Linked DNA regions of Schizosaccharomyces pombe. Changing the gene in region 1 together with any one later gene gives a genetic interaction. Each region holds a gene or a part of one and is shown in the gene's direction. Other genes may lie near its edges.

The links.
Region 2: of cgs2 (region 1) and pac2, changing one suppresses a phenotype caused by changing the other (phenotypic suppression), as found in Schizosaccharomyces pombe (one study listed by BioGRID).

What each region holds. Positions count from the first base shown.
Region 1 is NC_003421.2:1,809,660-1,814,620, reverse strand, and holds cgs2 (dual-specifity cAMP/cGMP phosphodiesterase Cgs2), read left to right. Parts: upstream 1-1,977; 5' UTR 1,978-1,989; coding exon 1,990-2,079; exon of another isoform or gene 2,080-2,140; coding exon 2,141-2,149; exon of another isoform or gene 2,150-2,195; coding exon 2,196-2,608; exon of another isoform or gene 2,609-3,060; coding exon 3,061-3,589; 3' UTR 3,590-4,284; downstream 4,285-4,961. Other genes in the region: SPRY domain membrane protein, specificity factor required for ubiquitination Ear1, read left to right, coding at 1-286; coatomer delta subunit Ret2, read right to left, coding at 4,362-4,637, 4,708-4,961.
Region 2 is NC_003424.3:3,004,613-3,007,567, forward strand, and holds pac2 (cAMP-independent regulatory protein Pac2), read left to right. Parts: upstream 1-1,525; coding exon 1,526-2,233; downstream 2,234-2,955. UniProt on the Schizosaccharomyces pombe protein: Controls the onset of sexual development, by inhibiting the expression of ste11, in a pathway that is independent of the cAMP cascade.

The sequences.
Region 1 (4,961 bases):
AGCAAACATCAAGAAATGGAGACTCGCTCCTGCGGTTGGAAGCTTGGCTCCTCCTCCGTCGTATTCTACATCGCAGCCAACTATTAGTTGGGATGCAGCTAGTGAGTCTTCAGCGGGTACAACAACGCAGGGCGATACAAATAGACCCGACAAATCGAAAAATAGGTCACCTCCAATAAATTTTGATGGTACCTCGTATGATGCGGCTGGTAATGTTTTCAGTCCATCATCATCCAACAATCAAGCTTATCAAATGCACTCCATGCCTGCTACCGATGAAGTATAAGGAGTAATGTATAGCTTAGCACTAACAACCTTCACGCCAAAACCAAAGATCAAGTTGTGGAAATGTTTGTGCGTTGTGTTTCAAGTTAGTCCTAAAATCGAGAAATGCACTTTGTATATGAATTGAAGGGGATGTGTTGATGTTCAATGTATTTATTTTCTTTATAATAATTTCTTCAAAATTAGTTATAATTATTAATCTTAATTAAATTTACTCTATGTTTATTCGCTCAATTAATAAAAGGTTATTCACAATTTATTATGATTTTTCGTATAATGTTGCTATTGAGTCTATACTGTTAACATCAACCTTCATCGAATTCCGCTGGTGAGAAGTTTTAACGGAGGAATTCATAGGGTTGTCAATCCTGATAATGAAAGTGTAAAAGGAAATTTTCGAAAGCGCTTTTTTACATTTCTAATTTTGCGTAGTGTCATAAAATGCAATTCCTGGTAAAAACAAAGCCGCTTAATTATTAGTCTTGTTATCTTTTGCTGTAATAAAAGGAAATCTACCTTTTTATTCCAAAGGAACAAATAAAGCAATTCGATACTGCAGTGTGACATTCTTTGTGAGTAAAAAAAAAAGGGAGTAAAACAGAGAACGTATTCAAGTAATATTCTGAGAATTGTTTCTATTTCAAACTTTTATAGCAAGTTTCCAATATGCCTTTAGGTATAGACTTAATTGAAAAAAGACCGATCATTATCAAAGGGAAAATTGGGATATATTGCTAATTAAAATATCTACCTAAAGGCTGCTATGCACCTATGATGATTTCTCTCCATAGACCAACAAAAAGTTCAATGGAAAGCAATTTCAGCGGCACATACAAAAGATTCTTCAAATAGGTAATTTAGGAATGTTTCTTTTGATTATCTTGCATAAAGGAAAAGGAGATCATATTTTGAAAGCTCTTACAACGATTACCACCCTCCCTAACTGATGCAAACTGGTTCTCAGCAGCACTGACTGGAACTATCTAAGTACTCTATGAAAAAGTAAGAGTTAGTTTAGCATAATCAGATAAAATGACTGGGACTTACGAATCCTCAAAGTCCGATAAAGAACCAAGTTCATACGGAAATCTATATTACACGAGGTTCAGTTTTTTGTATGTATAATGAATTATTATTTTAAAAAACATATTAGTGTCCGATAGTTTACAATTGTTTGCTAGTCGGTCTCTTAAAGAGAAGGGCATAAACTTCTGCCGACATTGTTAAACAAGCAACAAAACTTCCCCTCAGAAATGTTAAACGATAAAAAAAGGAAACCTCTGGAATTATATAAAAAATAGCTCTCTCTCTTCTCGTTACGTGACATTCTTTAAGGGTGTATATTGAACCTTCGGAAAAATTGCTCTCATAAGGAAGTGATACATGTCAAACGTGTTTCATCAAAGTCGCATTTTTTTTCTTAATATCTTACTTAAAGCAGCAAAGCATAACTTCGTTCCTCTCCACTTAACGACTTCCATCCTTTTATTTATTCATAGCATACTTCTTCACCAAGCGGGCACATGAATAAGGATAATTAACACACTACACTATACCCCGAGTTTCTCCACATTTCGAGCATCGTTTATCGTACCCTAAATCTACGGTAGTAAATGTATGCTTGTAATAAATATGACGTCAACCGACATGTTTTTGTAGACTAGTGCATGCACCGGAGATCTGTAACTCTCCATAAGCCTAGCCATGCATGCAGCACTCGAAATCAAAGAAGCTGAATTTCAAACCGATCAAGTAGTAGGACTCGTAGAAAATTCTTTTACATTATATTCATTGGTATGAAAAACGAAAAATATTTTTTTTTTTGAAGAATTTCGACTAACGTTAACGAAAACAGGGACAAAATGTAAGAATTCAAACATTATGCATTGAGAGCCATGCTGACTTATTAGGGGGGTCCATTGGAGTCTTGCTGTAGCAGTCATTTGATTTCTGATGGCGCATTTCAAGAAATTATATCGCTGGATGGTGGAAGCCACCTATCGGCGTTGGTTGAGTTGATCCAGTCAAAACACCTGTCCGTCGATTCTTGGTCTTCCATCACCAAGTATGACAATTATACGGTGGAAAATGAATCATACGCAAAAGCCTGGCACCTTTCAGAGCAAAGGATTAAAACGTTTCTCATCACACACTGTCATTTAGACCACATCTATGGAGCCGTCATCAATAGCGCCATGTTTGGTCCTCAAAATCCTAGAACCATAGTTGGGTTAAACTATGTGATCGATACCCTAAAAAAGCACGTGTTTAATAACTTATTATGGCCTTCCCTCGACAAAGCCGGATTTATTAATTTTCAGGTGTAAGTAAATTCTTTCTCAATAGCTTCTGTCAAATGAAAATTTTTTCATTGTTTTAGTGAATAGGTTGAGGGTTGGGAAGGCAATGTTGAGTTTTGAAAATTTTTTATTTTCTTCATCTTAGTTGAAGAGATGTATGCTCGTCTTTTTTTCCTTCAAATCTATTTGCTGAACACACATTTATATATTTTGCATATATGTAAACTATCTGCTGACGCTTTGGTTGATTTGCATGGTTTCATGGTACTTGTGCAATTTTTTTTGTGAGACAGTGATATTATTTGAAAGATTGCAAAGATTGCAATAATAATTATATCTCTTTTTCTTTCACTGTTCTAATATCTTTTGTTCTTGTTCAAACAAGTTAATGAATTTAACTCTTATGCGAATTTGCTAAATCAACCCCATCGGCATTTCTCTTTCTCATTTGACAATGAGACTAACCTCTTTTTAGGGTTGAGCCTTCCATGTATACTAGTTTAACGACTACTTTGTCTATATTGCCCTTTCCCGTTAATCATGGCTCCTCTTTCGGTCAAGAGCTAAAGTCGTCTGCATTTTTATTTAGGAATAACCTATCCGACAGATACTTTTTGGCTTTCGGGGACGTCGAACCCGATATGGTAGCCTCAGAACCGCTTAACATTCATATTTGGAGAGCTTGCTCTAGTTTAATTGCTCAAAGAAAGCTTTCTCATATTCTTATCGAATGCTCCACTCCTGACATCCCTGATACTCTTTTGTTTGGTCATTTTTGCCCTAGACATCTAGTGAACGAGCTTTGTATACTCCAATCTCTGGTCCAGAGTTATGGCGTTATCATGCCTACCCTTACGTGTTTGCTCACTCATTTGAAATCACATCCTCTTCAGTCGGCGAATCCTGCCGATGTTATATTGGAGCAGTTAGAGTCGTTGTCTTCCAAAAGTTCTCTTTCAGTCACATTTAAAATCCTTCAGCGTGGTCAATTTTATAAATTTTAATAGCATCCCAGGGTCATGGTCATATATTCATTATATTTTTATTTTTTTTTTTTAATTTCTTTTAGGTTTCTCCATTTATTCGTTACGCCCTTTTATCCTTCCGCCGTTGCCGCATGTCTTTCTATTATTGAGAATTCTGTTGGAGGAATTTTGACTTTGTTGTTAATTATTGAATGCTAAAGCAATTAATTATTACCTTTTTTTATTTTTCATTACCAGTTCATCGTACCTCGCTTTGCTGGTTTACTCTCATTAGAATTTCACGCTTTTCTCATCGGACACTTTATTTTCAAAAATAGAATGCTTTTTCTTTGTTTGCCAATCTGCTTTACTTTTTAAATAGATTTCTAATTTGGTTTTTTGTTGTTGTTGACGAGGTTTATAGAACGATGGGTTAAAAGTCTTAACCAGATTATATACTTGAATAAATGGGTTATATTATATGACGATTTCTCTGTTCTAATATTGTTTACCTAGAAACAAGAGGAAGCATTCCTAAAGGGTAGCGGGTATATTAGTTGAGTGATGAATCAATATAGGTTTGCTCTGCTTTTTTCGATTGGATAGACTAGGAAGTATTCTGGAGGGTATGAAAGGAACAAAGTGTTCTATTACAGTTGGTAATGGTCGACTCTTGATTACGATGTTTAATTTGGGATAGAAAAATGATTATTATTTCTAGTTATCGCATATGATCGTAGGAAAAGCACATTACAAAGGGGAAACGAACCAAAACGGATGCAATGATCATAAAGGGCGCTGGAATAGTAAATTAATATAACAAGCTAGTATTCTTCTTCTTTCCAAGTTGCATTCCTTTCGCTTTGGGAGCAGAAGAAGCCTTTGCTGCAGCGTGATAAGACTCCATGGCAGATTCGTCTTCAACATTAGACGTAGCAAAGGTTGTATTAACTGTTTGATACCCAATGGATTCATACGCATCTGCACTGGGAAGATTCTGAGCCGCCCGTCTTGCAGCTTCTTTCTTTTGTAATTCAAGTTGTTTGATGCGGCGCTTCCTTTCTTCAGTTGCTTCAATTTCTTTGTTCTAGAAAGTGCATTAGTAAAACCATACAAAAAAAATTTCGATGACTCCACCCCTATGCTTCAACACGTACTCTTGATACAATTTCTTGAATTTTCTCTTCGTGACTCTCCATTTCCAAATAAGTTTTGATCTGTGTCAAAGATACATTGTCTCTGTAGCCAAGGCTGGTAGCTTCGTCAAACGCAGTAAAGATTTCAAATGCATATTCCAGAATCTCTCGTTCTTCAAGCGACGAACAAATCGATGTTACCACTTGAGAGAGGAGATGTAATGTATCAATGTCTTGCAAAATATTAGATTGTAAATTGGTGATCAACACGATAT
Region 2 (2,955 bases), on another chromosome or scaffold:
TCTTTGAAATTTTTAAATCTGTTTAACTCATCCCAAAGTAATTGAGTGTCGGAAAAGAAATGGCCCGAACGGTTTTATGAACCGGTCCCTACTAAAGAATAACAAAATTCAAATATTGGAAAGGCAGGTTTTGGTTTTGAACGCAGTTGTTGGATTGAAAATATATTCCATTGTACTTTGTACTTGATAATCAAAGTAATCTTGTTGTTGATCATTAAAGGCGTATCAACAGTGTTGGGGAAAAAGTTTACCTTGAATCTTATCTAGCAGCGGAAACTAAATAATTATATTTATTAAATTGTTAGACCAGCCTAAAACTATCGGGATTAGCGTTGGGTAAGGGATTTACGGAATATTTACCGTATTAGGTTTTTTTTGAGTTTTAAAAATTTAACTCGCTAACATAACCGAAGCCTCGCACATATAAACTATCTTTCAACCTACTTGACTCAACTTTTCCTTCACCAACCGCAGTGTTGCATTAAGCAGCAAAACGTTGTCACCTTCGAATAGCGTCTTTTTGACGAATAAAAAGGTTGGACAACAAAATTAAATTAAGCAAATTTGTGTATAAACTAACAGCAAGTGAAGTTGTACCGGTTGTATGATTGAAGCATTGTAAACCAAAGAACAGCTACTTTGCCTTGTCGTACATTAGCTTTTTCCTTTGCAAAGAACTTTTAGGGACCTTTTTTTACCACAACTAGAGAACCGGTGTAGAAAGGTGTTCTATTTTAGTGAACGGATTCGTTTAATTTTTTCATTGAGAAAAAAATTTGATCTATCTTGATTTTTTCGACTGTTTCCATTTTTAACTATTTGTGACGTTTCTTATTGCCAAATTTCAACCTTGAGCATTGTTAAAAAAGCTGAATTTAAATTTCTTTGCTTTTAACATACAAGTGAGCTATTGGGTTTGTAAAGATTTAATACTTGATTGGAAGTTTTTTTGGTCAAGTCTGTTTTTTTTGGGTGTTTTTTTGACGATCAGTTGAAACCGCGAATAATAATATTTATTATAACTCCCTAAAAAAAGAAAGAAAATCATTTATTAAATAATTTTTACTTTCCTTCATTGTTTCTGAATTTTGCTTCTCCCTGCCGTTTAATTGTTTCATTTTCTTTTAGAAAGTACTAAAAGGTAATCAAATCGGCTAGTCTTGCAACTGAATTTTCTTTGAAGATAATATCTAGATTTAATTTTTCCCTGCTTGAATTTCCTAAGATCTTGCGTTCGTTCGGACTGAATTGCATAATTTATTGAAGGTCTCCATTCCTGTATACTTACTCGACTACCCATTTATCGGTCAAGCTGTATATATACACGCACAGTCAACTTATCTTCTACTTATATTTATAAAACTATTTATTTTATTTCTCTTTAATCCGAGCTTCGTTAGTTGATTCTTTTGATCTTTGCATTGGTAACTAATCCAGTGCGCTTTTTTTTTTGAATCTTCGTGACAGCTATTTTCTGATTTTACTTCATCTTCAAACTACGATCTGATCGGCTTTGCCTTTCGTCATGCAAACTTATACAGGTATCATTAAGACCCCGTTGGATGCGATTATCCTTTTCGAGGCCTGTCGAATTGGTCTTCTTCCACGCGTCCAGCGTCGATTGTCCGACCATGAAAGAAGCTTGATACGAGCAGGCAGTGTTTTTGTGTGGGATGAACGGGAAGCTGGAATGCGCCGTTGGACTGATGGTAAATCATGGAGTGCTTCTCGTGTCAGCGGTTCATTCTTAACCTACCGAGAAATGGAGGGTAAACGTAAACCTTACCATCACGGTCTTTCCACCGATGGTTCCCTTAAACGCTCTCCCTCTGCAGATACGACTGGTAATAGTTCCCTAAATGCTTACAGCAATGAGGACAGTGGAGCCGCGAGCTTGAGTGATGAAGAGTCGGTTGATGATGAGAACCTACGGGGGTTGCATTACAAACCGAACGGCTTAATTAAGCAGTCCTTTAGTATTACTACCTCCTTAAATCATAAACTTCACCTTATTTCCTATTCTTCGCCTATCCCTGATCCTTCATTAGTCACGCCAAGTAGTGATGTTAACCTTTCACGTATCACTATTCCATATGGACTGTATCCAGACGCGGGTCCACCGCTTGTTCAAGCACCAAAGTTTCTCGCTCCTTATGATATTCTTGTCGAGAAAGTTGCCTGTAGCGAAGACGCGCGCGTTTTGGATAAGTTGCGTCAAGCCCTATGGCTATAGGTTTGATCTTTTTCTTCACATTGGGTCCTACTTCTCGGTTAAAAAGTGTACTAAATTTACTATAGATTTCATTTGCATCATATATGGGGCTTTAACGACTCCCAATCAATCCTAGTTTCCTGTGACATTTTCTCGGCTGCGTTTTCGCTCTTACTAATCTGCGGCTTTGTCTATCAGCGTCTAATTTATGTGGTTGATCAATTTTAATTTCAAGTTACCACTTCATTCTTCAGCACTTACGGCAAGTGATAAAAACAGAAAGCTTGTTTTGATTTAATTCATTAACTAAGTAATCGCTCAACTGTCTTGCAAATACGTTTTCTGTTCGTCGGTTTAGATGTGTATCGTTATCATAACTCTTTAGACATTTCGCTTTACGCATTATTTTGTTTCGTCTGCGAATATCGGAAATGTCCTTTTTAAAGAATCTTTTGTGGTTATTTCATCAATGCTTCCTTTTTTCTCTTTATTATTTATTTCTTTTCATGATGGAAATGGTTAAGTAAACGTCTATCATGAAGCACGGTAGAACAAGTATTCAACATTTGAATTATGCACTCAACATTTCTATTTTTTACTACTCAACTTAGAGCTCATGTTCGGGTAAAATGATAGGAAAGCATCAATTCTTAGGGTAATTTGAATTCCTTAAATACAACTACTATGAAATTAATTCTTTATCTTTTAAGTAAATGCATAGCTTTTATTTGTTGTAAATGAAG